Linked DNA regions of Anolis sagrei. The protein of the gene in region 2 interacts with the protein of the main gene of each other region in a pairwise test. Links are inferred from orthologs where the notes say so. Each region holds a gene or a part of one and is shown on either strand. Other genes may lie near its edges. The genes, in order: DAZL and PUM2.

Region 1 (16,340 bases), on a different chromosome or scaffold from region 2:
TAAAGGTTTCCCATGACATTAAGTCTAGTCATGTCCAACTCTGGGGGTGGGTGGGGTGCTCATTTCCATTTCTAAGCTAAAGAGCCAGCGTTGTCCATAGCACCTCCAAGGTGATGTGGCTGGCATGACTGCATGTAGCGCCATTACCTTCCTGCCAGAGCAGTACCTATTAATCTACTCATATTTGCATGTTTTTGAACTGCTAGGTTGGCAGAAGCTGGGGCTAACAGCAGGAACTCACCCCACTCCCTGGATTCAAACCACTGACCTTTTGGTCAGCAAGTTCAGCAACTCAGCGGTTTAACCCGCTGTGCCACTGGGGGCTCCCTGATTCCACAAGACATCTCAAATTGCAGCAATTCTCAAACTTGTTGGTGGCTATCATGAAACTTCAGTGTTTTGCCCAATAACCTTAATCCAAACATACAGTTATTAATTTCCATTTTGCCATGCAAATAAAGTTTCATTACAAATTATATTGAGGCTAGCCTTTTTACCAACCAGGTGCCCCTCTGACTTTATATGTTGACAACTTAGTGTGATGCATCATTCCATTCTATCTCATCTCTTGTTATCTTTAATCTGCCTTGGTGCATTGAAGGCATTTGATATCTATTGAGGTTCCACATGCTATGGATTTTTGAAGTAGTTTCCCTTAGATTCTGAGTAAACTTTATAATGACTCCAAAGCCATAATTCACATTAATGGGATAGATTCCAAACCTACTGTTTGACTCAAGGCACAAAGCCTTTCCCCACGACTTTTTGCACTAGCCATTAAACCACTCATGAATCAAATTCAATAGTGGGCTTTACTGGACATCATCCAAAGCCCTCGCCTTATACTAATTATGGATTTAATTAACACTGGCAAGTCATATAACAAACAAACAAATTTTTAAGTTAGTATTATAATTTATTGGGATCCATGGTGTCTTTTAAACACACCATAATTATAGTACTGTTTCAAAATGGATTGCTCAAAAACTAAATTCTGGTCTACCTACTTCATCACACTAGAGAATGAATCCACTTTAAATCTGGTTTCTGCCTCCTGCAGAATTCTGGGGTTTGTAGTTTAGTGAAGCTCCTCCCTAAACTAAAGGCTCCTCCCTAAACTACAACCCCACCCCAATTCTGCAGGAGGCAGTAACCAGATTTAAAGTGGTTTCATTCTCTAGTGTGATGAGAGTTTTAAACTCTCCTCTTTTGCATTGTTTACTGCCAGGGGTATTCTTTATTTTTCAGACGATTCCACAATATCCTTCCAAACAAATGTTTCTGCAATGGCAAAATAGAATAAATTAAATTGGTATGTGAAGAAAAGGACCCTAGATTTGTTAAAACAATTCAACACATATGTTCAGGAAAAGGGAGTCGGGCAATCCCAGACATTGAATTGTATTATCCTGTCTTTCAGTTGAGTCTGCTTATTCAGATCATCAGATAGGACTCAACAAATAAATGAGTTTCTCTGGCAGTCCAGCAAAACTCCTTGGAGAGGGAATTACTTTTTAATGGTGTTTCTTTGGAGGGGAAAAAAACACCAGACAGAATTTCAAATTCTTTTTGAGTTATTCTCTTCATATTTGGAAATAATGAGCAGCTATCTGGCTTTTTGTCCATCGCTTATCATCTCCTTTCTGTCTCAGCCAAATTTTTGTTTTCCTGACAAAGCAGATCTATATGTGGGGTGGGGAGGAAAATGTATATTTAGAATAAGATACCTGTTCTTAAGGGGGAGGTTTGGAAATAAATACAGTTTGGTCAGACAACTTGAAAGGATCAGCAGTAAATTGCCTTTAATGGCACAAGTCATGACTTACTTTTTTTTAAAAAAACCTAATGTGTAGTGGGAATTCACCTTTTCTCTGATACTTTTAAAATACATGCTACAAATATTTATAGTTCTCAGGATTAAAATCTCAGATTGTTTCCCCTATACTTGGGGTGTTGATTATCAGTTAAAAAGGTAAAGGTTTCCCCTGACACTAAGTCTAGTCCTGACTGCATGGAGCTCCGTTACCATCCCACAAAGGCAGTGCCTATTGATCTACTCATATTTGCATGTTATCGAACTGCAAGGTTGGCAGAAGCTGAGCCTAACAGCGGGAGCTTCCCGGATTTGAACCACTAACCTTTCGGTCAGCCAGTTTCGGTCAGCCAATTCTGGGGTTTGTAGTTTAGTGAAGCTCCTCCCTAAACTAAAGGCTCCTCCCTAAACTACAACCCCACCCCAATTCTGCAGGAGGCAGCAACCAGATTTAAAGTGGATTCATTCTCTAGTGTGATGAGAGTTTTAAACTCTCCCTCTTTTGCATTGTTTTATGCCAGTTCAGCGGTTTAACCCGCTGCGCCACCAGGGGCCCCTAATTATCAGTTACTTATTGAAAATTAAGCGAGGAGGAGCTGAGGAGCCTTCTAATCAAGGTGAAAGAAGAAAGCACAGAAGCTGGGTTGCAACTAAACATCAAAAAAAAATCAAGATTATGGCAACAAGAATGATTGATAACTGGCAAATAGAGGGAGAAAACGTGGAGGCAGTGACAGACTTTGTATTTCTGGACCATAAGGAAGTCTGAGCGAAGGAAGATGCTTTTGAACTGCAAGAAGATCCAACTAGTCCATACCCCAGGAAATAAAGCCCAACTGCTCATTGGAGGGAAGGATAGTAGAGGCAAAGATGAAGTACTTTGGCCACATCATGAGAAGAAAGTAAAGCTTAGAGAAGACAATTATGCTGGGGAAAATGGAAGGAAAAAGGAAGAGGGGTCAACCAAAGGCAAGATGGACTGAATTGACCTTAAAGGAGCTGGGAGTGGTGATGGCCGACAGGGAGCTCTGGTGTGGGCTTGTCCATGAGGTCACGAAGAGTCGGAAACGACTGAACAAACGAACAACAACAATTGAAAATTAATGGCAATCCAAATTCTATCAGTATAAACAACAACAAAATATATTTATACATATCGGTTTAAGTAGCCAAGGAGCCTATTGGGTGGTCCAGCATTCCCAACATTCGACAACACACTGTGCCATTATGATTAGAGGGTCAGAGATGTTGAAAATAATGTGATTTTGATGGACCTGAATGTGAGAATACAAATAATTCAGGGCAATTGCAGAGCCAAATGCATACCCAAAATGTTAACAAACTTCAAGGTTAGAAATAGGATTTAAGGGAAAATCTTTTTAAAAGATTATCAGAGACTTATAGCAATGCAAATATATACTTCCAAAACTACTGACAATTTGTAATGCTATTACTGTATGTTTCTTATCGTGCTATGCGGCTCTGATTATTCTGCCTACAAATCCAAGAAAGTAATCTCCAAAAATTGTATATTCTGCTGTTTAATTTCCGAATCCTTCCTTCCAAGGTATTTTAAAAGATTTTGCATTATCTTGTGCCTTCCTCTGCCAAGCATCTCATTTTCTATTCTTAACATTCTGTTTACACCATAGAGTTGGAAGGGATCTTAGAGAGCATCTAGTCCATTTTCCTGTTCAATGCAGACTTGTAGCCTCGATTTTCCAGATAGAAACAAAACAAGGGTAGCCAAGCAGTACCAGGGGATGGTTAAGATGGCAACAGTTATTAATAATAAGGAAGGACAAGTTAGAAATTGGCTGCTTTTGCCTGTGGGAAAGGTATGATTCTGCCTCTCCTCTCCACTAACTGATTACAAAAAGATTTCTACTAATTGTGTGAATTTCAAATCATTGTGAAACTGGATTGCTGTGAGTTTTCCGGGCTGTATGGCCATGTTCCAGAAGCATTCTCTCTTGACATTTCACCCACATCTATGGCAGGCATCCTCAGAGGTTGTGAGGTTTGTTGGAAACTAGGCAAATGAGGTTTATATATCTGTGGAATGTCCAGGGTGGGAGAAAGAACTCTTGTCTGTTTGAGGCAAGTGTGAATGCCATTGATCATCTTGATTAGCATTGAATAGCCTTGCAGCTTCAAGGCTTGGTTGCTCCCTGCCTGAAGGAATCCTTTGTTGGGAGGTGATTAGCTGGCCCTGATTCTTTCTTGTCTGGAATTTCCCTATTTTTTAGTGTTGTTCTTTATTTACTGTCCTGATTTTAGAGGGTTTTTTTAATATTGGTAGCCAGATTTTGTTCATTTTCATGGTTTCCTCCTTTCTGTTGAAATTGTCCACATGTTTTTAATGGTTTCTCTGTGTAGTCTGACATGGTAGTTTTTAGAGTGGTCCAGCATTTCTGTGTTCTAAATATATGCTGTGCCCAGGCTGATTCATCGGGTGTTCTGTTATGGCTGACTTCTCAGGCTAAATTAGTCTGCAGTGCCTTTCACGTACCTTGATTCATGTTTGGGCAATGCTGTGTTTGGTGGTCCCTATGTAGACTTGTCCACAGCTGCATGGTATACAGTAGACTCCTGCAGAGGTGAGAGGATCCCTCTTGTCTTTTACTGAACATAGCATTTGTTGGATTTTCTTAATGGGTCTGTAGATGGTTTGTAGGTTGAGTTTTTCATCAGCTTCCTTATGTGCTTATTCCGAAGCAAGTGCATACTGCAATCTTTGAATACTTTTTTCTTGATCAGTACACCCAATGGATCATGGCAAGCTGCTTTTGAAACAGACAGAAGTTTCAAAAGATGTAATTATATCATATGCTAAAATAAAAGAACAACAAAGAAAGTTTCTGTTGAATTGGTTCAAGCATTTTGTATTTGACTTTGAATCTTGGTCATTCTCTTTAGTTTGAAATTAATTGGATTCAGAGGGATGTATTGACACAGAACTGCGGCCATAGCAGGCACTGGGACATTCTGATTAAACAAATGGGAAAACTACCACTAATAAGATCCCAAAGGGGGTTTAACAGCCGGCATAGGCAATGCTGGTCCAGAGACAGAGTAAATGAGATCATTCCAACAGAAGAATTTCAAAGGGAGAGACCACTGTGAAACAGTTGAATAATTATATAGATTTGGAATAAACAGAAGCAGAAAAAAATGAAATATAAAGATAGAGAACGGGGGCGCCTGGCTTGACAGAAGTATGTGTTAAACATGAACCAACAATGTCTTGGGTGGCAAAAAAGCCAATGGGATTTTGAGCTGCAACAGAACAAGTATAGTGTCTACATCAGACCACACTTTGAATAATCTGTCCAAATTTGGGCACCTTAATTGAAGAGAAATGTTGACAAGCTGGAATGTGTCCTGAGAAGGGTGACTAAAATGATCATGGGTCTGGAGAACAAGCCCTATGAGGAGCGGCTTAAAGAGCTGGTCATGTTTAGCCTGCAGAAGAGAAGGCTGAAAGGAGGCATGATGGCCATGTATAAATATGTGAGATGAAGTCATAGGAAGGAGGGAGCAAGCTTGTTTGTTGCTGCCCTGGAGACTAGGACGCAGAGCAATGGCTTCAAACTACAAGCAAGGAAATTCCATTTGAACATTAGGAAGAACTTCCTGACTGTGAGAGCTGTTCAGCAGTGGAACTCTCTGCTCTGGAGTGTGGTGGAGGCTCCTTCTTTGGAGGCTTTTAAACAGAGTCTGGATGGCCATCTGTCAGGGGTGCTTTGAATATGATTATTTGTTTCTTAGCAGGAGCTTGGACTGAATGGCCTAAGAGGTCTCTTCCAACTCTATGATTGTATGATTCTAAGCAATAGTCCTGTGCTACCACAGGTCACTGACCAACACAGCTATTTCTCTGGAAACTGACCAGCTGTCTCTCAACAGATCATTGCATGGACAACCACTAAAATTATATTCAAAACTAGCCGTCCCCTGTCACGCATTGCTGTGGCCCAGTTTGAGCATATGTGTTTTTGTGTGTATATATATTTGTGTTTATGTAGTTTTGCGCATGCATTGTAATGTTGTTGGGGTTTGGGTTTTTTTGCTTTTTAAGTCTCTTCTGCTCTCTTTTTCAGTGTTTTTATGAGTGATGGTCACTCGTTGGCCTTATAGGTGTATTGTGCCTGAATTTGGTGTCAATTCATCAAGTGGTTTTTGAGTTATGTTAATCCCACAAACAAACATTACATTTTAATTTATATAGATTATACAATTTTTTTCAGCACTTGCATAAAAAGAATAAAGAAACATTAAGAACACATAAAAAGGCTGAAATGAAGATTAAAACATGAGACTCTTCATTTTTAACACGGATTTAAATTCAAAACATACACTATAAACATTTAAGAAAACAAAGTTAAACAAATTAAAATATTTACAATTGTAAAATGCTTTTATCATTGGGATTTGACGAAATCTAATAATCTTGACCCTTGTGAGACAAGAAATAGAAACTACAAATGTTATTTGCTGGGTTAGTTTCTCTAAATGTTTTCACTTGAATCAACATTATTTAAATGGCGAACAAGAAATAAACAGTTTCTATGCAGTGTTTACTTTTTAGATTAACTGATTATGATCTTTCTAACAAGTGTGCATTTCATGGTTCGGATTCACAAATAAATTACCTAAAATGGTGTAGTTCCACCTTGACATTTGTCCATTCTGATTTGGATTATTGCACATGCATTTCCTTCCCTCTCCTAAGTATATTCTTCAATATAATCCGACTTCAACTCGAGTATGAATTGTGCTGCCAGGAGGAAGCACACTAGTAAAGGAATCACTGAATTAGAAGTTCAGAAAAAGTATGATTTTGCATGAGTAACACATGTGCCTGCTGAATATATCTACCCACTTAAAAACCTTAAATTGGTGTCAATATGATTAAAATTAATCAGATCCATAGAGCTGCAATACTAGTGTAGAAATCAATTGCAAAGAAACCTAAGGCATGGACATCTACTCTTCTTTTTACAAGCTTTAGAAGAAAAATCTACAATCTTCCTATTCTACTTTTAGACAAATTTTACCACCAAGAGGTTCTACCTTTGGAGACTCCTTTCTTGTAATTTGAATCCACTGGTTGAGTTCCTCTAAATCGGCAGAAAACAACCACACTCTTTCTCTTTCTGATTACAGACCAACAGGTTGCATGTTCAAATCCAGGGAGAGTGCAGGTGAGCTCCCTCTTTCAGCTCTAGCTCCCCATGCAGGAACATGAGAGAAGCCTCCCACAAGGATGGTTAAAAAAAATCAAAACATCCAGGCATCATCTGGGCAACATCCTTGCAGATGGCCAATTTTCTCACACCAGAAGCTACTTGCAGTTTCTCAAGTCGCTCCTGATATGACAAAAAGGTAGAAGGAACCATTCTCTCTTTTCATATTGATTTGGGAACCTCCCCTTTCACTAGGAATTCTGTCTTAATTCCCAAAACAAGAAAATTTGTTTTATCTGTGTGGTAGAGGATATATGACAAGTTGTGAAAATTACTGTTGTTCCTTAACACATAATATCTAATGACATCAGCAGTGATTGAGTTGGGATAATCCTAAACTAATAATCCAGCCAATTTTCTCACACCAGAAGCTACTTGCAGTTTCTCAAGTTGCTCCTGACATGACATATATGTTGAGTTGTAGTTCAGCTACATCCAAAGAGCACTGTGGACTCAAACAATGATGGATCTGGACAAAACTTGGCATGAATACTCAATATGCCCAAATATGAACACTGGTGGAGTCTTGGGGAAACAGACCTTGACATTTGGGAGTTGTAATTGCTGGGATTGATAAAGGTAAAGGTTGTCCCCTGACATTAAGTCCAGTCATGTCTGACTCTGGGGTGTGGTGCTCATCTCCATTTCTAAGCCGAAGAGCCGGCGTTGTCCATAGACACCTCCAAGGTCATGTGGCCAGCATGACTGCATGGAGAGCTGTTACCTTCCCGCCAGAGTGGTACCTATTGATCTACTCACATTTGCATGTTTTTGAACTGCTAGGTTGGCAGAAGCTAGGGCTGACAGCGGAAGCTCACGCCTTTCGGTCAACAAGCTCAGCAGCTCAGCACTTTAACCCACTGTGCCACCGGGGGCTCCCGGCTGGGATTTATAGATCACCTTAAATCAAAGAGCACTCTGAACCTAGCCCACAATGGATCTGCAACCCCAGAGAACATGGTGGACTCAAACAAGGATGGATCTGGATCAAACTTGGCACAAATACTCAATGGTCGCAGGTTCGAATCCAGGGAATGGGGTGAGCTCTTGCTGTTAGCCCTAGCTTCTGCCAACCTAGCAGTTCGAAAGCATCCAAATGTGAGATCAATAGGTCTGCTCCAGTTTCCCAAGTAGATCCATAGGTCTGGGAAGGTAATGGCGCTCCATGCAATCATGCCGGCCACAAGACCTTGGAGGTGTCTATGGATAACGCCGGCACTTCGGTTTAGAAATGGAGATGGACAAAGACAACCAATAATGACCAGAGTAGGAAAGGACAATGCCGATGCTAAATGGTTTACGGACTTGGATTTGGTGAACACTGACCACAAGATGTTTTATTGCTGCTAGTATACTGTATGATGGTTTTAATTAGTTATAACTGTGATATTATGTGGTAAATTTGTGTATTGTATAGTGTATTGTATGTTGTAATTGTTAGGCATCGAATTGTGCCTTTTGTAAGCCACCCTGAGTCCCCCCTAGGGGGTTGAGAAGGGCGGGGTAAAAGCACTCCAAATAAATAAAATAAATAACATTTTGTTAGTTTTGGCCCATCTCTCTAATCCGTCAAGATCGTTTTGAATTCTGCTCTTCTTCAGGCTAAGCATACCCAGCTCCTAAGCCACTCCTCATAGGGCTTGTTCTCCAGACCCTTGATCATTTTAGCCGCCCTCCTCTGGGCACATTCCAGCTTGTCAACATCTCTCTTCAATTGTGGTGCCCAGAATTGGACACAATATTCTAGATGTGGTCTAACCAAGGCAATCACAAAGTGGAGTATCTTGCATTTGTCACTGTTGAACTTCATTTTGTTAGTTTTGGCCCATCTCTAATCCGTCAAGATCGTTTTGAATTCTGCTCTTCTTCAGGCTAAACATGCCCAGCTCCTTAAGCCGCTCCTCATAGGGCTTGTTCTCCAGACCCTTGATCATTTTAGCCGCCCTCCTCTGGACACATTCCAGTTTGTCAACATCTCTCTTCAATTGTAGTGCCCAGAATTGGACACAATATTCCAGGTGTGGTCTAACCAAGGCGGAATAGAGGGGTAGCATTACTTCCCTAGATCTCGACACTAGGCTCCTATTGATGCAGGCCAAAATCCCATTGGCTTTTTTTGCCGCCACATCACATTGTTGGCTCATGTTTAACTTATTGTCCATGAGGACTCCAAGATCCTTTTCACACGTACTGCTCTTGAGCGAGGCATCCCCCATTTTGTATCTTTGCATTTCGTTTTTCCTGCCAAAGTGGAGTATCTTGCATTTGTCACTGTTGAACTTCATTTCTTGCATTGTCACTGTTGAACCAAGCGTTCGGGTAAGCTGGCAGATGGACAAAGACAACCAATAATGACCAGAGTAGGAAAGGACAATGACGATGCTAAATGGTTTACGGACTTGGATTTGGTGAACACTGACCACAAGATGTTTTATTGCTGCTAGTATACTGTCTGATGGTTTTAATTAGTTATAACTGTGGTATTATGTGGTAAATTTGTGTATTGTATAGTGTGTTGTATGTTGTAATTGTTAGGCATCGAATTGTGCCTTTTGTAAGCCGCCGTGAGTCCCCCCTAGGGGGGGTAAAAGCACTCCAAATAAATAAAATAAATAACATTTTGTTAGTTTTGGCCCATCTCTCTAATCTGTCAAGATCGTTTTGAATTCTGCTCTTCTTCGGGCTAAACACGCCCAGCTCCTTAAGCCGCTCCTCATAGGGCTTGTTCTCCAGACTCTTGATCATTTTAGTCACCCTCCTCTGGACACATTCCAGCTTGTCAACATCTCTCTTCAATTGGGCACAATATTCTAGATGTGGTCTAACCAAGGCAATCAAAGCACATTCTGAACTCCACCAACGATTGAATTGGGCCAAACTTCCCACACAAAACCTAGATGAGCAACAGAAAATAGTGTTTTCTGGGGTCTTTGACAACACCCCCCCTCCCCAGGTTGAGAAACGCTGTGGCCTAACCCAACCCCAATATGTGTAACATTTTAGTAAAGGCTTAAAAGGACGCCATGAGTGTGGATTTAGGCCTCAACCAGGCCCCCCTCCCTCCCTCCCTCCATGGGAATAAAAAGTCCCGGCTGGATCCCTGTCTAAGGAAGGCGAGTTGGGTGTGGCTTGAGCCTCATTGGGCCGGGCCTTCCCAACCTGCCGCTTAAAAGGACGAGGCTTGTGTTTTGAGGGAAGGAGGTGTACGTGTGGGGGTTGTTATTGGTCTCTTTTGTGTGTTTTGGAGCCGGGGTTTGGGGAGCACGTTGGGGAACCCGCCTGTGACCAAGGCCGCGCGCGCGTGGGCAGAGATGGTGAGTCGTCGCGCAGGGAACAACGCGCCCAAGGAGTTGTAGGTCTTGTTTTGAGGCGCAGGGAGGGGGACAAAAGAATGAATAGGCCCAATATGGGGAGCCTAGTAATGGCTGGAGAGGGTCTTTAAGAGCGCCTCGCTTCGAAGGGTTTGAGGGAGAAAGCGGCTGAAGGAGGGACGATGTGGCGTTGGGTGGAAAAGGCGGGAAGCCCTCGCCACGCCTTTGAGGGGAGACGGGAAGGCTTTGGGGCCTATGGCGGAGGAGTAAGTGCAGAATTCGATAGGCGCCACCACCATTTTGTCTCCTCAGGCACACTCTCATCTCGACGGTCTTTGAATGCACTTCGAAGGCGGCTTCAAACTGCCACCAAAAGCGCGCCAAAGCAAGGCCCCTTCACGCGCGCCATTGCTTTGGAGTGTCACCACCAGTTAGACCTCAAATGGGCGCAGCAAGATCCCTGGCTTCAATCCACTTTAAATGTGGGGGCTCTGGTTCAGAACAGTTGAAAGCCACACTGGCCTTCCCAGATCGTCTTGGGTTGGGTCTACACCAGGCATGGGCAAACTTGGGCCCTCCAGGTGTCTTGGACTTCAATTCCCACAATTCCTAACAGCCTCAGGCCCCTTCCTTTTCACCCCCAGCCGCTTAAGCGGCTGGGGGTGAAAAGGAAGGGGCCTGAGGCTGTTAAGAATTGTGGGAATTGAAGTCCAAGACACCTGGAGGACCCAAGTTTGCCCATGCTTGGTCTATCCTACCTGAACTGCAATATATAGTCGTTGTAATGCCCTTCAGTCTTGGGTAGTAACCGCCTATAATGCCCTTCAGTGCACTTTAGAGTAAATTATAAAGGTCTGTATTGTATAGTCTTGTGTAGTAACCTCCTGTAATGCCATTTAGTGCATTAGGGAAAATACACTAAATTAAGAAAGTATATATTCTTTATTATATATTAAGAAAGTATATATTCAATAGTATTGTGTAGTAGCCTCTTGTAATGCCTTTCAGTGCAGTTCAGAGTACATTATGAAGGTCCATATTATATAGTTTTGTGTAGTAACCTATACTGTCCTTCAGTGCAGTTCAGAGTACATTGTAAAGGTCCATATTATATAGTTTTGTGTATTAACCTCCTATAATGCCCTCCAGTGCAGTTCAGGGTACATTATAAAGATCTATATTATATAGTCTTGTGTAGTAACCTATACTGTCCTTCAGTGCAGTTCAGGGTACATTATAAATATCTATATTATGTAGTCTTGTGTAGTAACCTCCTATAATGCCCTTCAGTGCAGTTCAGAGTACATTATAAAGGTCCATATTATATAGTTTTGTGTAGTAACCTCCTATAATGCCCTTCAGTGCAGTTCAGAGAATATTATAAAAGTCTGTATTTCGTAACCTATACTGTCCTTCAGTGCAGTTCAGGGTACAATATAATCTATATTATATGGTAATGTGTAGCAACCTCCTGTAATGCCCTTCAGGGTATATTATAAATGTCTATATTATGTAGTCTTGTGTAGTAACCTCCTATAATACCCTTCAGTGCGGTTCAAGAGTATATTATAAAAGTCTGTATTTCGTAATCTATACTGTCCTTCAGTGCAGTTCAGAGTACATTGTAAAGATCTATATTATATGGTAGTGTGTAATAACCTCCTATAATGCCCTTCGGTGCAGTTCAGAGTATATTATAAAAGTCTGTATTTTGTAGTCTTGCGTAGTGACCTATAATGACTGCTCTGCAGTGCAGTTCAGAGTATATTAAGAAAGTCTATATTCAATAGTATTGTGTACCAGCCTCTCGTAATGCCTTTCAGTGCAGTTCAGAGTACATTACAAAGGTCCATGTTATATAGTTTTGTGTAGTAACCTATACTGTCCCTCAGTGCAGTTCAGAGTACATTATAAAGGTCTATATTATATAGTTTTGTGTAGTAACCTCCTTCAGTGCAGTTCAGAGTACATTATAAATGTCTATATTATATAGTTTTGTGTATTAACCTCCTTCAGTGCAGTTCAAAGTACATTTTAAAGGTCCATATTATATAGTTTTGTGTAGTAACCTATACTGTTCTTCAGTGCAGTTCAGAGTACATTATAAAGGTCCATAGTTTTGTGTAGTAACCTCCTATAATGCCCTTCAGTTCACTTCAGAATACATATTTTATTTAATCATTGTGTAAGGAGCGAACCAAAACAGTTGTATTGCATTACAGACAAACAAACAAAACACAAAGTTTGCAGACTTGGTATTCTATTAGATGTCCTTTGACCAGCAGCTGGCTACTTGGAGTGCCTCTGGTGTTGCTGCAAGAAGGTCCTCTATTGCGCATGTGGCAGGGCTCAGGTTGCATTGCAGTAGATGGTCTGTGGTTCGCATGCCGTGGATTCCACTTTGTAGCCCCATTTCTTAAGGTTGGTTCTGCATCTCGTGGTGCCAGAGCGCAGCCTGTTCAGCGCCTTCCAAGTCGCCCAATTTTCTGTGTGTCCAGGGAGGAGACTCTCATTTGGTAGCAATTGATTGAGGTTCTGGGTTTGAGCCTGCCACTTTTGGACTCTTGCTTGCTGAGGTGTTCCCGCGAGTGTCTCTAGATCTTAGAAAACTATTAATTGATTTAAGTCATTAAATCATTCAGAGTACATTATAAAGGTCCATATTATATAGTTTTATGTAGTAACCTTCTATAACGCCCTTCAGTGCAGTTCAGGGTACAGTATAAAGGTCTATATTATGTAGTCTTGTGTAGTAACCTCCACTGCAATTCAGAGTACATTATAAAGGTCTATATTATGTAGTCTTGTGTAGTAACCTCCTATAATGCACTTCAGTGCAGTTCAGAATACGTTTTAAAGGTCTGTATTATGTAGTTTTGTGGAGTAACCATCTATAATGCCCTTCAGTGCAGTTCAAGTGGCATTATAGGGGTGTACACCAGGCATGGGCAAACTTCAGTCCCCCAGGTGTTTTGGACTTCCAGCTCTCACAATTCCTAACACCTGGTAGGAATTGTGGGAGTTGAAGTCCAGAACACCTGAAGGGTTGAAGTTTGCTTATGTCTGCTCTGCACTGATCATGTCAGTGTAGATCCAAGCCTTGACTTATAGAGAATGTTTGCGGGGAAGGCCTCCAATTGATGATCTGGCTGCCTGCGGTTAATTTTAGGATATGAGGATTAATACTTTTTGACACCACTACCATGACTCCATGCTGTGGAATCATGGGATTCATAGTTTGGTAAGGCCACCAGGATACAGACGGAAAAGGTGAAAGACGTTGTGGAACCACAACTTCCTTGATTCCATCCTGTGAAGCCATGGTATTTATATTTAAAAGTCGTGACAAACTGCATTAATTCTGCCCCGCTTCATCGCTGCAGTCTTTAATGTGCTTTAGTGTGCTTACTTAGAAGTAAGCCCCATTGTCATTGCTGGGTGTTACATCTAGGTAAATCCTTGGGTTCAAGCCAATTTCCAAGGGTGCATCTGCACTGTAGAATTAATGCAATGTGACACCACTTTCGCTGCCATGGCTCAGTGCTATGGAGTCATGGGATTTGTAGTTTGGTGAGGCACCAGCACACTCCTGCAAAGGAGGCTAACAATCTCCTGACAACTCCCAGGAATCCATAGTATCAAACTTGATAAGACAATTAAAATTGTGACAAACTGCATTAATTCTACAGGGTATCTGCACCCTTGGGCCCCATCTAGAATGAACATTTAATGAAGTTCAAAGCTAGCTTCAAATTGGCAGCCAGGCAACTACCTTCCACAAAAGTGTGCCAAAGAAAGCTCTCAACGCTCTCTGGTTTTTGTACCTCAAACTGATTCCAGGTTTTTCTGTGTCATCATCTGCACAGTGAAACCACTTCTTTCAATATTGATTTGAAATTGCCTTGAAACTGGACTTGCAGTTTGGTGAGGCGCCTGCCCTGTTGAGCAGACAAGACTAAAACCTTGTAAAGCCGTAACTCCCATGATTCCATAGTATCAAGCCCCGGCAGTTAAAATTCTGACAGACTGCATTAATTTTACAATGTAGATGCAGCCTTCATCTCTGAAATCTTCATTGTGCCTACTTGGAAGTAAGCTCCATTGTTATCATTGGGGCTTAGTTCGAGGTTATAGGGTTTGAACCAATTTCCAACTGAAGCACCTCCAAGTTTTACTGTAACCCCAAGCCTCAACCTTTCCTCTCCTTGTCCTCTTATCTAGTTGGAAGTTTTTTTAACAGCATCAGCATTGGGAATTCCAGTAGTGAAGGATGTGTGGAGAAACACAGGCTATTGGTGTCAGGTTGCAGCAATTTGTCTGCAATAAACAATGTAATAAATGCTTGAGTTGCAAAGTATGCCATTTTACCCTTAACTGTTCCTATTCCAGCTTGTTTGTATCTGCCTGCAACACTTAAGATAAACAGCAGGTGCCTGCAGAATCCTTTACTAAGCATTCATGAACATCAACTTAAAGGCAGCTGGCTATCCAACAAATTTGTTTAAAAAAAAAACCAGATCTGTAAGTTTGGCCACCAAAATTGAAATCTACAAAGTGGAAGTAGATGAAGGATAAAGTGATCCTTGGATGCATTTTGAAAGAAGCCTTCAAGTGATCTCAAGAAGATTCCATATATTTTTGTCTTTCTGGAAGGCTTACATGACCTGATTGGTTTCATTTCACATGTGCATGTTATTTTGGATAAAAAGTTTGCAAACCCACAACGAACTGCTATTTTGTGGTGTAGTAACCAGTGCTAATTCTTTCCATTTTATCTCTGCCTCTGGCACCCACCTATGTTCTTAACCTCTGTGCCTGTATTCCTAACTAGGGTTTTGGGAAATTGCTGGTTAATGCAACTGGAGTTTAACTGCCTGTAAGACAAATTGGTAACACTCATGAGGCCTGATGGGAGAAGTTTGTGTGATAGATTTTTTTCCAGGCTGGTATTTAGTGAAATTTGTCAAGTTACAGAAATCTGGCTGCTGGTGAGGAGTTGTACCAGCTATTAATAGTATGGGATCAAAGAACACCTGAAATACTCAGTATAATCTTTTGAACTTGAAAAACTGTAATGTTAATAGAGATAATAGTTAGAAAATATGGTCTATAAAAAGATGTGTATAGATGAGATTTTAGTGAAACCTGCAAGTCGAATGAAACTGACCAATATAGGCTTTTATGTTCATATTATAGACAAACCAAAACTTAATGGTTTTCATATTAGCATCTGTGCCACTAATTGCATTTATTTATTTTATGTCAAAAGCATTACATAAATAAGTATAAAACTGATAAAATAGAGGGAGCACAAGCAGCTAAATAATTTTAGACCAAAAATGGGCAACAGCAACGCATTGTCTGTGCCTTTAAACAGTTCTTCCTTTGCGCATGAGGCAGGTCATTGTAGGCAAGCATACACATGCGGTGTTCGTTTTGCCATTTTGTCAGGTTGTCTTTTGATCTGTCCACTCCACTTCTGAGTCTGTTCAGGGACTTTCAAATTGGCCATTCTTCATTTGCCCCTGTGGGAAGACCCTCAGGGGGGCGGGTCATTCATTTGGGATTTCCTGTTTTAGCTGCCCAGAGTTGCTGTTGCTGGGAAACATTAAGAGGAGTGGTGATTCTCAATTAGCAACTTCCCGCCGCACATTGGGGGGAGGGGGGGGCAATGCCAGCTAGCTTATACAGTCTATAAACAGATGTGGGTTTGAGACATCCTGTGATTATTCTACATGCTTTATTCAGTGCTATATTCACCTGTTTCATGTGGACAGACTTGTGCCAAACAGGGCAGGCATATTCAGCAGTTGAATAAGACAAGGCCAGGGCTGATGTTCTTATTCATTTTGGGTCTGCACCCCATGCACTGCCAGTAAGTTTCCGCAGGATGTTATTGCGAGCAGCTACTTTGTACTTTGTGTTCATAGTGTTTCTTAAATGTTAGTGTTTGATCTAAGGTGACGC
Region 2 (16,125 bases):
GAAGCAGCCTGTGATTTATTTAGGTTTTCTTAGGAAGGACTAATTTTGCAATTTTAATGGTTCCCTACAATCACCACCTTTTTTTGGCAGGAATTAAAACCATGTCTGAACTTTTATCAAAATAGGAAACATCTCAAAGAGTGGCAAAAGATCTGTTTGGATGCCTAGGCAGGAAAATGGTGGTGGTGGAGGCAGCCAAAGAGGCTGGTCCCCTGAAGCAGAGCTAGCTGTTTCCTCACTGCAAGGAATGACATTCCAATTTGCCACAAATCATATCAAAATCCATAATTTGACAGTCAAACCTTTCCTCAACTAATACATGACATTAATGTATACACAAGTATATATGATTTGTTGACCTATAAAGCCATAGGCAGTTCAAATCTTCAACAGAGACCCTACTGCACATACCACTAGCCCAAGAGGCAAGCAGAACTGTAGTAAAGCTGGTACGCAACAGGAATAATTTTGTCCAAGACAAGCCAGACTAGTTTCATTTCTTCTGAAAATTTACAAATGGTTTTCCCCCCTTTCTGTGTCTGAGTTTTAAAAACTAACTTTTAAACCTATGTTTACTTTCTTGTAAAATTTTAAATCAATATATATTTGTTTTAGGCAGAGTCCTGCAGTTCTGCAAGCTTCATGACTGAAAGCTATGCAACAATTTGTGGTGTTCCTGGCAGGGAGCAGGTGATCAGGCTTGTTAAGTCTGCTATTTGTCAATGCCATGTTCAGTAGCTGGAAGCCTGGGCTAAAAGAGTTACTGGCATAAGCAGCAGCACTCCTGAATGATTTGGCTACAGGAGCCCCTCATCATCTTTTCTATGTGAAGTGTACTCTAGAATCCAAATAATGGCCTAACACATACAAAACACCAAGAACGAGGAATCCTCATGAAAAATATGGGATCCTGGCATGCTGACTGGGCTTGAGATTGAGGGAAGGAGAAAAATACTCAACAGCATCTCTTCTTGTTAGCTACTATGGCTCAGAGGGTAGGAGATATCTAGCATTAAGGATTAAAGATTTGCCCTTACTCTTTTGCTTATGCATATACAGAGATGACAAAGAAGCTGGAATGGGGGCTTTCTATTTCAATGCTGGGCCTCAAATTCTAACCTTCTGCTTCCATCTAATCCCTTGGTGCCTGTCTCAGCTTAATCCAGTGGTTCTCAACTGGAGAACCCCTGGATGTTTTGGCCTTCAACTCCTAGAAACCCAGCTGGTAAACTGGCTGGGATTTCTGGGAGTTGTAGGCCAAAACATCTGGGGACCCACAGGTAGAGGATCATTAGCTTAATCCTTCCCCTCTTTCTGAATGGCTCTTCAATTTCATAAGTAAACCTCATACCAAGTCCAAGAAGAAATACATGTAATTTTCAAAGACCTCCTGGGAAGGGAGATAAGTTGGGATATTTTCCTTTTTATACATGGCCATTAATGTGCTGTGATTTTTAATAGTGTTTTGAGAGCAATACATCTTGTATGGAGTTTAAAGGAAATATCTTCTGAAATCTCATGAGATTCTAGCTGAGGATTTTTTTTCAGCAGCACAAAAGGGAAAGAGAAAGAATCCTTATGTTTCTGATTCTGGAAATACAATGTATAAAGATTTTCCCTACACCTAAACAGGTTGACACAATCAGGAAAACCATAAAACTGAAAGAAATTTTGCATTATTGAATTACTTTCTGAAGTTCTACATCATAATTTTACTGTAACATTATTAGTCACTAGCCATCCCGTGCCACGCATTGCTGTGGCCCAGTCTGGTGATCTGGAAAACAAAGTAATGAGAAAGTGTTGCTTTCTAATATATGTAATTTCTTTTATGTTTGTGGGTAAACAGTATTTCTTGTTTCTTTGTCAGTATTTATGTAAAGATTGCCTGGTTTGCCTACTCTGGAACATGGAACATATTACTGTCCCTCTTTAGGGGTCCCTTTCAAATTTGTGATACTATGTCTGTCATATACATATGTGTGTGTGTGTGTGTGTGAATCATATATATCTATCTAAATCTATGGCTGGATGGCTCTTTGTCTGGAGGGCTTTGATTATGTTTTCTTGCCCTGGTGAAGGGAGTTGGACTGGATGGCCTTAAGGCATTATTTCTCAACCTGGGAACGTCCTGAGGGGGTGTCAGAAGGGTTGCCAAAGACCACCAGAAAACACAGTAATTTCTTTTGGTCATGGGGGTTCTGTGTGGCATATTTGGCCCAATTCTATCATTGGTAGGGTTCAGAATACTCTTTGATTGTAGGTGAACTATAAATCCCAGTAACAACTCCCAAATGTCACGGTCTATTTCCCCCAAAGTCCATCTGCGTTCATATTTGGCCATATGAAGTATTTGTGCCAAGTTTGGTCTAAATCCTTCATTGTTTGAGTCCACTGTGCTCTCTGGAAATAGGTGAACTACTATTCCCAAACTCAAGGTCAATGGCCGCCAAACCCTTCCAGCATTTTCTGTTGCTCATGGGAGTTCTGTGTGCCACAATTGGTTAAATTCCATAGTTGGTGGAGTTCAGAATGCTCCTTGATTGTAGGTGAATTATAAATCCAAGCAACAACTCCCAAATGTCAAAAAAAATTTGGAGTGATGGTCACTCCTTGGGTTAGTAGGGCTCTTATGACCAAACTGAGCGGCAATTCATCCAGTGGATTGTAACTGATGTCACTCAAAACGAACAGAGCATGCGTGTGTGTGTGATAATAAATTGAAAAAAATATTCTGAAAAACAGTTTCAAATGAAATACAGAATATACTTCAAAGGAAGAAACATATCCCCACAAATGTAAATGTAATATACAAAAATAACCCAAAACATCAGCTTCATGAATTGGGAGTCTTTCCTTCCCCATAATCAACTATTACAGAGCCTTTCTAAGGAATGAAGGTTACTCAAATGTTTTATATGAATCACTAAGTGCAATAACCAATTTCCGTAGTATTTTAAAAGGACCAATAGACACCACAGTGTCATCTTTTGTAGATTATAACACACTTCGGCAGATATGCAAAGTGTTGCTCAAATTTCTCTTAATCCCCTCCCCCCCCCCAGAGAATAGATATTTGGGAGGCGGGGGAGGGGTTTTTAGAAATACTACAATCTTACGCCAACCATATTAGGGTACGAACAGACATAACTCATATTACAAAGCTGCCCACAAAGAAAGTTTTTCTCTCTCTTGTTCTCTGCCTGACTGGAATGATTTTTAGCAGCAATGCAACAGGGAGAAGTTGGAAAACAGTGAAAAAAGGCTGGAGAAATACATTCTTACAATGTTGAATTATCCCAGATGTCTGCAGTAAACACTGCAGTAAAGCTTCAGTTGGAAAGAAAGGGATTTTGTTCTCACTGATCTTACTGTAACTGTGTGTGTCTGCTCACAACAGGCATGGCAAACTGCAGCTACCTCCAGAATCCCTTACTGATCACATGTGAATAGCGAAACAAGATAGAAAAGGAGAAATAAAAATATGACCTTATCATCCATCATTAGCATATTAAAAAACCACAGATTTGTGAGTCTAGGGTCCTTCCACACAGCCCTATAGCCCATGATATAAGGCAGAAAATCCCACAATATCTGCTTTGAACTGGGTTATCTGAGTCCACACTTCCATATAACCAAGTTCAAAGCAGATATTCTGGGTTATATGGCTACATGGAAGGGCCCCCAGTGTACAAAATGGAAATCGTAAGAAAAGTAGAAGCTAGTGTCGGGAGGCAGGGGGGATATCCTTAGATGCATTTTGTAAAATACTTTCAGATTATCTCTGGACAATTCCAAATGCTGATCTGATCTGCTTGGTTTATTTCATTTGCACATTGTCGGTCTTAAATAAAAAGTTTGCTAAAACATGTTAAACTGCTTTTTGTGTTGGTGTAAGAACCTTTGACTATTCCTTACATCCGGCATCTTCAAATTGCAGCCCTCCAGCTGTTTGGGCCTTCAACTCCCAGAATTACTGACAATTGAACAAGCTTGTTAGGGCTTTGAGAGTTGGAGGCCCAAACAGCTGGAGGGCCGCAGTTCGAGGATGCCTGCCTTTCATGATATTTCTGCATCTGTTATAAAACCTTTATATTAAAGTAATACTCTAGAATGCATCTAGTCTATTAACTGTAACAGAAGTTCTAACGAACTCTTTTTGCATATAAAAGTGTGGTCTACGGCTATTAAAAGGTAATGCAATAATAAATGAGCTATAATCTTTAAAGTGGCAGAAGACCCTTATTGTTTTGCTGCAACAAACAGAGCAACCCAGTTTCCCTTTGGGACTCAGATTACCGTAACTATGCCCCCATCTAAACTGACAATTTAATGTTATTTCAAACTGGTACAGATGAAAGTGATGTACAGATGATTAAATAGGAAATCCTGAAATCAGTTTGAGGCCCGGATGGAGATTACAAAAACCTCAAAAGACTTGTGCACATTAAGAGGTTACTTTTGCTCACTTTTGCGGGAGTTTGATGTCTGATCCCCGCATTTTGAAGCTAGTTTGGAACTGCATTAAATGGTCAAAATAAATAGGACCGATGAAACTTTTAAGAAACAACGGGTAGGCCAAAGCTTTCCTTTTTCTACACAACTTCCCTGGAGAATAATTTCAGTGTAACACAAGAAGATTCCTATTTTTAGCCACCACTTCTTTTAACAGCTACTCTCCCCCACCTTACTCTTTTGTCACATCAATCCTTTCCTCAGATTACAACACAAAATGGAATCTCATGTCGGCGAGGGCCTAACTAACAGATAGGTTCCACTACAGAAATCGCACTTCCGCTCAAATATTCCCGCAGTTTACTCTTGTTACAGTTTTAGCTCTCCTCGTCAGAATAGGCTGAGCGCGCAAAGCCAGTTCCTGTTGGCAAGGCTCCACCAAAACAACAAAGGGAGAAAAAGAGGTTAACTGGTCCACTGGCCAATCCAGTGCCCCGGCGATGCTCCTCTTTCGCCTCCCACAGCCGAGGAGGCCTCTAAGCACTGCTTTCTCCTACAAAGGGAGCACACACCCCAGTCTTTGAACCACAGGCTGCACAAAGAGAAGGCCACTTCGAAGAAACCCACCAGAAAGGCCCCTTCCCCCTTGACACTCCGCTCCACCGACTTCCAAAAGGATCTCCTTGTCTCTCTTATGCAATCTCCTGTCCTAACCACCTTTGGAGCTGCATCTCCCAGGAGGCGACAAAGCCCATGGAGGTTCCTTTCACACAGATATCTAACCCAGAATATCAATGTGGAAAATCCCACAATATCTGCTTTAAACTGGGTTATATGTCAGTGTGGACTCAGATAACCCAGTTCAAATCAGCTATTATGGGATTTTTTGCCTTGATATTATGGGAAATGGGGTTGTATTTAAGGGTCCCCAGAAGATCAAGGCAGAATATCCCACAGTATCCGCTTTGAACTGGGTTACCTGAGTCCACACTGACATATATTCCAGTGTAAAGCAAATATGGGATTTTATTCAGCTGCGTGGAAGGGGCCAGAGGCACTTCCTGAAACTGGGCAGAGGGCCCTTCCACACAACCATATATCCCAGAATATCAAGGCAGGAAATCCCACCATATCTGCTTTGAACTGGGTTATCTGAGGGCCAATCTACACAGTCCTATGTCCCAGAATATTATGGCGGAAAATCCCACATTCTCTGTTTTGAACTGGGTTATCTGAGGGCCCTTCCACACAGCATTATATCCCAGAATATCAAGGCAGAAAAGCCTACAATATCTGTTTTGAACTGAGTAATCTGAGGGCCCTTCTACACAGCCTGATATTCCAAAATAGCAAGGCAGAAAATCCCACCATATCTGCTTGGAACTGGGTGATCTAGGGCCCTTCCACACAGCCCTATATTCCAGAATAGCAAGGCAGAAAAATCCCACATTATCTGTTTTGAACTGGGTTATCTGAGGGCCTTTCTACACAGCCCTATATCCCAGAATATTATGGCAGAAAACCCCACATTATCTGAGTTTTGACTCAGATAAACCAGTGCAAAGCAGATGTTCTGGCTGTGTAGAAAGGCCCCTAGAATATCAAATCAGATCATGCACAATATCTGCTTTGAACTGGATTATCTTGAGTCCACACTACCATATAATCCAGTTCTATGTGGATGTCAGACAACTGTGTAGCCAAGAGATACATCAAGTGCGATAAAGATGATCATTTTATATTATTTGGGGATGGGGGAAAGGCAATGGCAACGTTTCCAAAGATACCCTGCTGGCTCCTTCCAGCACCACACCCACACTGGCCGCCTCCCTCCTCGTCTCTTTCTCCCCCCCCCCCCTTTCCACCTCTGCGCGGCGCTTTGTATGGCTTCCTCGCCTCCACACAGGAACACAAAGGGACGTAACGCGGATCCACCATGCAGGCCCCGCGCGGGGGGAGGAGAGCGGCGAGGAGGGCACAGCCACCGCGGCTCTTCCCTTCTCTTTCTCCCCCTCCCTCCCTCCTTTATTTTTTTTTCTCCCGGCGTCGAAACAATAGAACGTGGGTGAACGGGCGCAAGGGGGGGGGGGAAAGAGGCTGGAATACCCTCCGCGCGCGCGCTCGCTCACTCGCCGCCTCCCTGCCGTTCCACCCACCCAGCTTCCCTCCCCCTGTTGGAATACTCACAGGCTGTAACGGACTCAGGGAGGGGGGCTCCCTCCGCCTGCAGCAGCGCTCGCGCCGATAATGGCCCCGCGCGGCCACTCTCGCCTACCCTCCGTCGCCGCCTTCTCCTCCGCCTCCTCCTCCTCCGCCTCCTCCACCACCACCACCGCCGCGGCCGCCCCTCCCCCTCCGCCTCCTCCTCCTCCACCACCGCCGCCGCCGTGAGGAAGACTCACAACAACATGGCGAGTGAAAGAGAGAAAGAGAGGGACAGACATACACAGCAACAGCAGCGATAGCAGCGGCGGCGGCGGCAAGCGACTACTGCGCATGCGCGCCCAGGCCCCAATCGGTGAATGCTGGGACACAAAGGGGGCAGGCTTTTTTCGAGAGGAGTCCGAGGGAGAGAGTGCGTGCGTGCCTCCGTGCGCGCGCACACACACGCGCCACCTGCCCCGCCCCTTCGCCCTCCCTGCGCGTGCGCAGGAACCGCAAGCCGCTCACCAGAAAGAAGCAGGAAAAAAACAAAACAAAGCCATAGAGGCTCGGTCTTCGCCGTTCAGCAAGACAAAGAGTTCCGGTTCTCAATTGCATTCACCATATGAGGGGCAAGAGGGCAGAGAGGCCTGCTTCTGGCATAAAAGAGCTCACAACTGGGTTGTTGTAGGTTTTGTCGAAGGCTTTCATGGCCGGAATCACTGGGTTGTTGTAGGTTTTTCCGGACTACATGGCCATGTTCTAGAGGCATTCTCTCCTGACGTTTCGCCTGCATCTATGGCAAGCATCCTCAGAGGTAGTGAGGTCCCACTACCTCTGAGGATGCTTGCCATAGATGCAGGCGAAACGTCAGGAGAGAATGCCTCTAGAACATGGCCATATAGTCCGAAAAAACCTACAACAACCCATTCTTGTAAGTTTCTCGGTCTATATGGCCATGTTCTTGATGCATTCTCTCCTGACGTTTCCCTGCATCTATGGCAGGCATCCTGCCACAGGATGCCTGCCATAGATGCAGGTGAAACGTCAGGAAAGAATGCTTCTGGAACATGGTCACACAGCCCAAGAAACCTACAACAACCTAGTGATTCCAGCCATGAAAGCCTTCAACAATACATAGACGATGCAGGCAAAACGTCAGGAGACAATGCTTCTGGAACATGCCCATGCAGCCTGGAAAACTTACAATAACCTACAAACAAAACAGCTCCCTGCTCTCAAGGCTTACAGTCTAATTAAGACATGACCCAAAAGAAAAAAGAGATGGCAGTGTGGGAGTAGATTGAGCACAGAAGATATGGATGGCCTCCTGGGCTTCTATGAGGTAACAGGGATCCTCGACTGTTAGATTCAGATGGATTGACATCTATCTATGCAGTAGATTCTCTGTTATCCAGAATTCTCAAGCAATCGGCAAAAAATGGAAGAAATAGTGTTTATAATACATTAAAATTGGTGTTTGAGATGCAGTAAAAACTTTGTCTCATTAAGTGTGTCTTTATTTGCCTATATTTGTGTTTGATGGCGGCATTTCAATATTAATATTACCAGTGGCACAGGGGGTTAAACTGCTGAGCTGTTGAACTTGCTGACTGAAAGGTTGGTGGTTCGAATCTGGGGAGTGGGATGAGCTCCCGCTGTGAGGCCCAGCTTCTGCTAACCTAGCAGTTTGAAAACTTGCAAATATAAGTAGATCAATAGGTACTGCTCAAGCAAAAAAGTAATGATGCTCCATGCAGTCATGCTGGGCACATGACCTTGGAGGCATCTACGGACAATGCTGGCTCTTTGGCTTTGAAATGGAGATGACCACCCTCCACAGCCGGGCACAATTAGACTTACTGTCAGAAAAAACCTTTACCTAATATAGTAAAATCGATTTTTGCAATACAATAAAACTTCATCACATTAAGAATGTCTTTATTTGTCTATATTTGTGTTTGATGACTGCATTTCTATATTAACGTAAAGTTTTACTCCAAGTCTGTTGCTGAATACGCATGCCCAGTGTGGAATACAGCTTGCCATGTTAATAGAGTGGATGTAGCTCTTAATAAGACATGTCACATTATAACAGGATAGCTATGGCATGAGGAGAGGCGGGTAGGAAATAAAATTGTTACTACTACTACTACTATTATTATTAGCATTAGAATATGAGAAAGCAATGGTGTCACTGTCTCAGCCACCTATATGGACATCTTCAGATTTGGGAATTCCCAATAACGGATGCCCTTCCAATATTCACGTTTTCATTATTCTTTATTGAACGTGTTGTTAGCTTGTGTATATTGGTGATAAAAGTACATTGGAGATTCACAGCATTTATGTACTTCACAGTACAGCAAATAACATGGAGAAAGCAAACAAACAACCTGTATTAGTTTCAACATTCCTCATCTGTAAACATCTCTCGTTGCTTACTTTTCACAAAATTGGTCTAGATTTACTGGCCAGTGAGGCCTCTTCTACACTGCCATGTAATCCAGATTATCAAATCAGATAATCCACATCCGCTGCTTTGAACTGGATTATATGGGTCAACATTACCATATAATCCAGTTGAAATCAGATAATCTGGATTTTGTCTCGCACTGTAGAAGGAGCCTGAGAGTTTTGTGTTAGAATTTCTTTGGGATTCCTGATGCCAAACATGTAATGATTAATTCACTTGGTTTTGCTCCCAAGTAAGCAATTCCAGTAGAACAATTAAGAATGACCTTTAATTTACAAGCCTGCTAATGATGTTTGTAAGAAGCCTTGGAATGTTTTTTAAAGTATTTTTTATTGGGAAAGAATGAACACAATACAATGGCAATAGCAAAACAAACAAGATTTTAGGATATATTACAAGGTGTCTTAAACTTGTTCCACTCATGACTCCCTTTCCACCGGATACATTTTTACATGATTCCAGGTACACAGTGATATAAAATAGATATGAAAATCAAACATTTACTGATAACAAATCAGCATTTGCAAGGCTTGCTAAATAGGCTGATTTTCCTTTTCGAAGAACACAGCTGGAGCATTTTCTGCAGATCCCACTTGCTAACAGATCCGTGTAAATGGGTGGCATTCAGAAAGCTTTTACTGTGGTCAATTTTTTGCTGATCTCAACATTGAACTGCGGGGACATCCTTTAAGCAGCAGTGATATATAATACCAAAACTATACAGTTACATTCTACTACCAAGTACAAACTGAAACTGAATCACAATACGAATCACACCTACTCATAAAAACCTCAACACTCCTTTTTGGATGGCTTTTACCCATTATAAAGGTTTTCCCCTGACATTAAGTCCCATCGTGTCTGACTCTGGGGGTTGGTGCTCATCTCCATTTCTAAGCCAAAGAGTCGGCGTTGACCTTAGACACCTCCAAGGTCATGTAGCCAGCATGACTGCACAGAGTGCCGTTATCTTCCCACCGGAGAGGTACCTATTGATCTACTCACACTTGTATGTTTTCAAACTGCTCGGTTGGCAGAAGCTGGAGCTGACAAGCGGGAGCTCACCCTGCTCCCCAGATTCGAACCTGTGACCTTTTGATATGTAAGTTCAACAGCTCAGTGGTTTAACCCACTGTGCTACCGGGGGCTCCTTATAATTCTACACTATTTAAATGGTATCATACAGCCACACTTCTACCTTTGGTCTGTGGTGTTTTTAACTAGTTCCACTAGTACCAGAAATAGGGAGAAATAGCATACAATATTGTTAATTGAGCACTCTCTGATTTCCTGGTAAAGGAGCGGGCAAACTGTGACCTGCAGGTTTGGCAATACGAGATACACCATTTAATAAAGAAGGCATTCCTAAACCATCAGCTGTGCTAGGCGTTTGCGTATTTATTCACACTAATTTGGATCAGCCTTGCCGAACCTTTTCCCTCTCCAGGTCCTGGACTAGAGCTCCTGCCCTTCTTGCCCATCCAAAACACAGAGTCGATGAGAATTGTAATGACACACATCTGGAGAGCCCTGGATTGAGGAAGGCTGGTATACAATTACATACCAATCGGCGCTTCGAGGTTATTGTCGCCAGCAGAGATGTTGACAGGCAGGAAACTGAGGTCAAATTTAGGCCTGTGAAACCCATACCTAACAGGAAGCGTGTATCAAAAGTGACAGAGGCCAAAACAGGCTCAGCGTGTTGGGCTAATTGTCTCCTTTCCGTGGCAGCCTTGCCTATGCACCCGTGGAATAGATAAACAGGACACAAAGCGACAGCATTCCTTCTCCCCACTTCTTTTGCAACTGGAGCTCACAGGTCCCTGAGTCTGGAGGTTCAGTTTAGCTTCCAGGATTACTGACGAAAATTGTTAAGAAGGCAGCAAAGGAGCTGGAGGAAGGGAAGAATAACAGGAAATACAATAGGAGTGAATTACGGGCTGCAACTCTCCTTTTGGAAGCAGTGGCACCTATCCCACTGTTTCTGGCTCCATAGGACATGATACAAGTCACTGGCAAGGTCATAGCCCACCTTTGAGTCCTTGATGATGCAATCTATGTATATGTCTTAATTTCATTATTTAATTTAAAAAATGTGTTTAAGGATGCTCCCAAACAATGCCAAAAGATGTGCTTTAAAAGAGAGGCAAAAAATCACGGGACCTGGCAGAAGGCAGCACACAGACCTGTCAGTCTTTTGAAGCGGATCAAGATGGAGGATGGATGGGGACATCCGGCAGAAGTTGAGTTATTTTTTTTATTATCTTCGTAATGTGCTGAACTTCATATGTGCTTAATGTACACACAAACAGATTCTTATTTCTCTCTTCACTCAACTGTTAATTCAAGCTCTGTTTAATATTATGAAGTTCAAAAGAAAGAGTTTCAGAGGGTTCTAATTGCCTTCCACTTGTACTTCCTTTGAGCCACCTATGTGTCCATGGCCCCATTTTTTTGACAGCCTGATGAACTGATTAACTGTTTCAGGATTTCAAAAGGTACAGTTGTGCTAGAGCAGTCTGCACAGGGGAAGGAAAGCATATGTTTTGCATGACTGCAGGGATATACAATCATACGAAGGTACACATTTTTGGGGTTTAAAGCACACCTTTTTAACATGCTTTTCAGCTGTTAACCTGATTCCGCCCACACTTTGTTGAAATATGATATATCCACCCACTTTCATCCCAGTTACTTCTGGGACATGGTTTTTAGCCGTATGTGAAAGTCAGTGCAGTGGTAATTGCTGCTGGAATAGGTACTTATAAAATATTATACAACTGTAAATTACAGTCCTCCATATTTGCTGGGATTAGTGGCATAAAACCCCTAAGAAAGTGAAAACACATGGGGGGGGGGGAGAGAGAGATTACTAGATTTTTTTTTTACTTGAGGCTGGATCTATACTGCCCTATATCATAGGATCTAATACCAGATTATCTGCTTTGAACTGGATTATATAAGTCCACACTGTCAGAGAATCTGGGATAAACAGATAATCTGGGATCAGACCCTGGGATATAAAACAGTGTAGATACAGCCTGAGAAAACACATCTCTAGCAATTTCTAGGTCTTCCAATATGACACTGTCATTGAAGGACATAGAGAGATGTTTTCTCTAGAAATCTCAGGTCCTCCAGCATTTGGGGGAAGGTGACCATAGACGCACATTGAAGGACCTAAAGAATCCTAGAGAGAGCATTTTTAATCAAATCCATGAATAATCAAATCCACAAAAGCCAGAACTGTAAATGTGGAGGGACAATTACTTTTCAACCAGAGTTTTTCATGAATAGGATAAATATTTTTATTTTATGTGCTGTTACAAAGTATATCTTTACTGCATTTACACATATTGGAAGTCTTCAGAGCTAAGCAATTTATAAATATTCATAAACATATTAAACTTTGAATTCTCCATTTATTTGTGTGGTCTCAGTGAGTTACTATTGCCTCAGTTCCATGAATCCTCATGCTTAAAACCAGCTTCCTATTGGACTGGCAGTATACTAATTATCCAAGGCCTGTAATATTTACATAGACCTAAAAAAATTTTCCAGAAGAGCTCAGTGTCACTTTGAGGAAGTTAAAGCAGGAATGAACAGCTAAGGCAGATGAGGAGGTGGGTTTTTTCCTCTGTGGATCTTATGGAGCAGAGATTACTTTCAAAGAGAATATCCAATTATTGAATGAAAAATACTCCTGTATCAAAAATAGAAGGTAGGAAATACTCAAGAACAAGGCAAAACATGATTACAGCAGAAAAGCCCACAACCCCAACCCCGAGATGAAGAAACATTGATAAATTACAGGTTTAAAAGATAACTATATGGTACTAATTGCTGAAGCAACACCACAGAGTCTTTCAGCACAGATTATTACCCTTACAATTAATTGCTTTAATTTTGTTCTTTGCAGGGTGTAGTCTGTTGGCCTCTGCTTTACATCCCCAAATATGTCATTTTGATGCCTAAATAATCCAGCCTTCTTTAGTGCCCTGTTATGCCCTACTGAGTGTAAATATTTATTGAGTTATGTTTTTTTTTAAAAAGGGGGGGGGGGAGCAAGGCATACCATTGCACAAAAAGATGATCTGAACAAATTCTACTGTTCCATTTTTGAGTGGTGGATATAGAAGACACTCTGAGGATAAACAAACAATCATATTTAAAGCAGGGGTCAGCTGCCTTAGGGCTACACCGGGCCCTTAGCCAAATACCAAAAGGTCCATTCAAAACAATCAATTCAGACATCTGGCAAGAATAAAATGATTGCCTTCCCTCACTGTCGCCAGGCTTTATGGGTTGGGAGGAAGAAGGTTTGGGGTTGGCAGAAGTGACAATGGGGGAGGGAAGAAGAACCAAAAATAGAAAGAGAAATGACAGAACGAGAAGAGGAAAGGAATGAAGGAAAGGGACACATATCAGATGAGGTTGCCACAAAGGGAAGTGGGTTGATAGAAGACACCTTTTTATTTCAGCATGCCTCCTTTTTCATGTTTATTGATGGTTTGTTGTGAAAAAAATCTTGGGAGTCCTTAAGGACATCAAGTTAAACATGAGCCAATGATGTCATGCAGCAGCTAAAAAAGCCAATGGGATTTTGGCCTACATAAATAGGAGTCTAGTGTCGAGATCCAGGGAAGTCGTGCTACCCCTTTATTCTGCCTTGGTCAGACCACATCTGGAATCACACTGTGTCCAATTCCGGGCACCGCAATTGAAGGGAGATGTTGACAAGCTGGAATGTGTCCAGAGGAGGGTGACTAAAATGATCAAGAATCTGGAGAACAAGCCTTATGAGGAGCGGCTTAAATCGCTGGGCATGTTTAGCCTGCAGAAGAGAAGACTGAGAGGAGACATGATGACAGCCATGTATAAATATGTGAGGGGAAGTCTTAGGGAGGAGGGAGCAAGCTTGTTTTCTGCTGGCCTGAAGACTCGGACATGGAGAAAATGGCTTCAAGCTACAAGAAAGGAGATTCCACCTGAACATAAGGAAGAACTTCCTAGCGGCGAGAGCCGTTCAGCAGTGGAACTCTCTGCCCCGGAGCGTGGTGGAGGCTCCTTCTTTGGAGGCTTTTAAACAGAGGCTGGATAGCCATCTGTTTGGGGTGCTTTGAATGTGATTTTCCTGCTTCTTGGCAGGTGGTTGGACTGGATGGCCCAAGATATCTCTTCCAACTCTATGATTCTGAGATTCTATGGCAACATATTGATTAGACTTCCATCTAATATTAGTTCCTGAGAAGATCTTATTTTGTAAACAGCTGTCACTGCAACACAACCTTCAGTTAGGATGGAACAACCAATTCATGAGGACCATATATAACTGATAAGGACAAGGGGCCAACAGGGGTAAATCATTTTCTTAAATCTCTGCCATTCCATATCATTTAAGGTTTGTTGTGCAAAAGCAGCAAAGAATTGGGAAGCCCTGGCCCTTTAGTGCTTTAAATGGAGATCAGTTGTGTCCAGCAGTGCTGCGGATTTCGAAGAGGCACAAATTGAGGGCAATAGGGAGAAACGTACCAAGAGAAAGGCGCATCAAGCCAATCCTGATCGGGACTGTCTTCCACCTGGGAACCAATGCCCTCACTGTGGAAGAACATCCAGGTCAAGAATAGGGCTCCATAGACACCTACGTATCCACTGCCAAGACACTACACTTGGAAGGCCATCATATTCAGACAACGAGGGATTGCCTAAGTATATCAGTTAAACAAGTACAAATTGAGATAAGGGGAATCATAGAGAGAACATGGATAGAATGTGAGTATTTAATGTCGTTTCCTCTCCACTTCCTTTTAGATGAAGCGATCTAAAAGCTTAACAGTTTGCAGATTTTTTGGTTGTCCCTAGAGAATTATGTATAGTTCAACCCCCATTACCCACAGATTTAATATCCATGGTTTCATTGATTCAGACTCTCAAAAATATTCCCTCCTGGAAGTGTTTGTGGAGCGCTCTTGATCATCCATCACTATTCTATAGTATGCTTCTGGCTCAATATAGTCAAAATATATGGTTTGTTTATCCACGGTTTCAAGTATTATCATACATTATGTCATTGGCAGTGAAATAGTGACTTGGCCTTTTTGGGGACTCCTCCCAGTTATGCTGTTGCTGATTAAATGGTGGGAGTGAGCATTCCTATGTAATAATAACTTGCTTCACAAGTATTCCTAACTTGTTATAAAAGAATTGAACAGCAACATAGGAGTATACCTCTCTTAAAAAAACTTGTTTGACACTTAAATAAATCTTCTCTGAGTGGAAGGATTATTGTAGATATGGTAGAAAAGGGGCATATAAGAAGGCATAATTGTGCAAAGGAAGAAGCTGGAGAGAAAACAAATAACACAATGGATCTCATGGTTAGTGAGCTTATATACAAAGAGCCATCTTGAATCAGACTGAAAGCCTACCTAGCATTCAAAACTGAGACTGCCACCATTGCATTGGAGAGCTGCCATTCAAGGATCTAGTCCAGTGGTTTTCAACCTGTGGGTCCCCAGATGTTTTGGCCTTCAACTCCCAGAAATCCTAACAGCTGGTAAACTGGCTGGGATTTCTGGGAGTTGTAGGCCAAAACACCTGGGGACAGGCATGTAGCCAGGGGAAGGGGGCTTGAGGGGCTTCAGCCCCCCCCCCCCCCGAAATTCTCATGGTGGTTCGCGAAAAGGCCTTTCTGGTGCATTACTTAAACTGTTATGTTTATTAATGTCATGATCTGGTCACCATACTCAATATATCCCATATGCATGGGGGTATTGGGGTAATGATACAAAAGGTTTGCTAGGCTAGACCCTCTTTCACTCAGACTCAGCCCCCCCCCGAAACTCAGCCCCCCCCCAGCCCCCCGAAAAAATTCAGCCCCCCCCCCCCGAAACGAAATCCTGGCTACGGGCCTGCCTGGGGACCCACAGGTTGAGAACCACTGATCTAGTCAATCAAACTTTTCTTTCAAGGTTACTCCACTGGGTTTATCCTGTTTTTTGTACTTCTGTGAAACTTGAGGTCCCTTGAACCTAGCTCCTTACCTGGAGAAT

What was found.
Region 1: the proteins of PUM2 (region 2) and DAZL interact in a two-hybrid assay, tested with the Homo sapiens proteins (2 studies listed by BioGRID and IntAct). The link is inferred for Anolis sagrei from reciprocal best matches to the Homo sapiens genes PUM2 and DAZL.

Annotation. Positions count from the first base shown.
Region 1 is NC_090026.1:88,915,851-88,932,190, forward strand, and holds the start of DAZL (deleted in azoospermia-like), read left to right. Parts: upstream 1-10,216; 5' UTR 10,217-10,373; coding exon 10,374-10,376; intron 10,377-16,340. UniProt on the Homo sapiens protein: RNA-binding protein, which is essential for gametogenesis in both males and females. Plays a central role during spermatogenesis.
Region 2 is NC_090021.1:136,243,599-136,259,723, forward strand, and holds the start of PUM2 (pumilio homolog 2), read right to left. Parts: upstream 6,767-16,125; 5' UTR 6,643-6,766; intron 1-6,642. UniProt on the Homo sapiens protein: Sequence-specific RNA-binding protein that acts as a post-transcriptional repressor by binding the 3'-UTR of mRNA targets.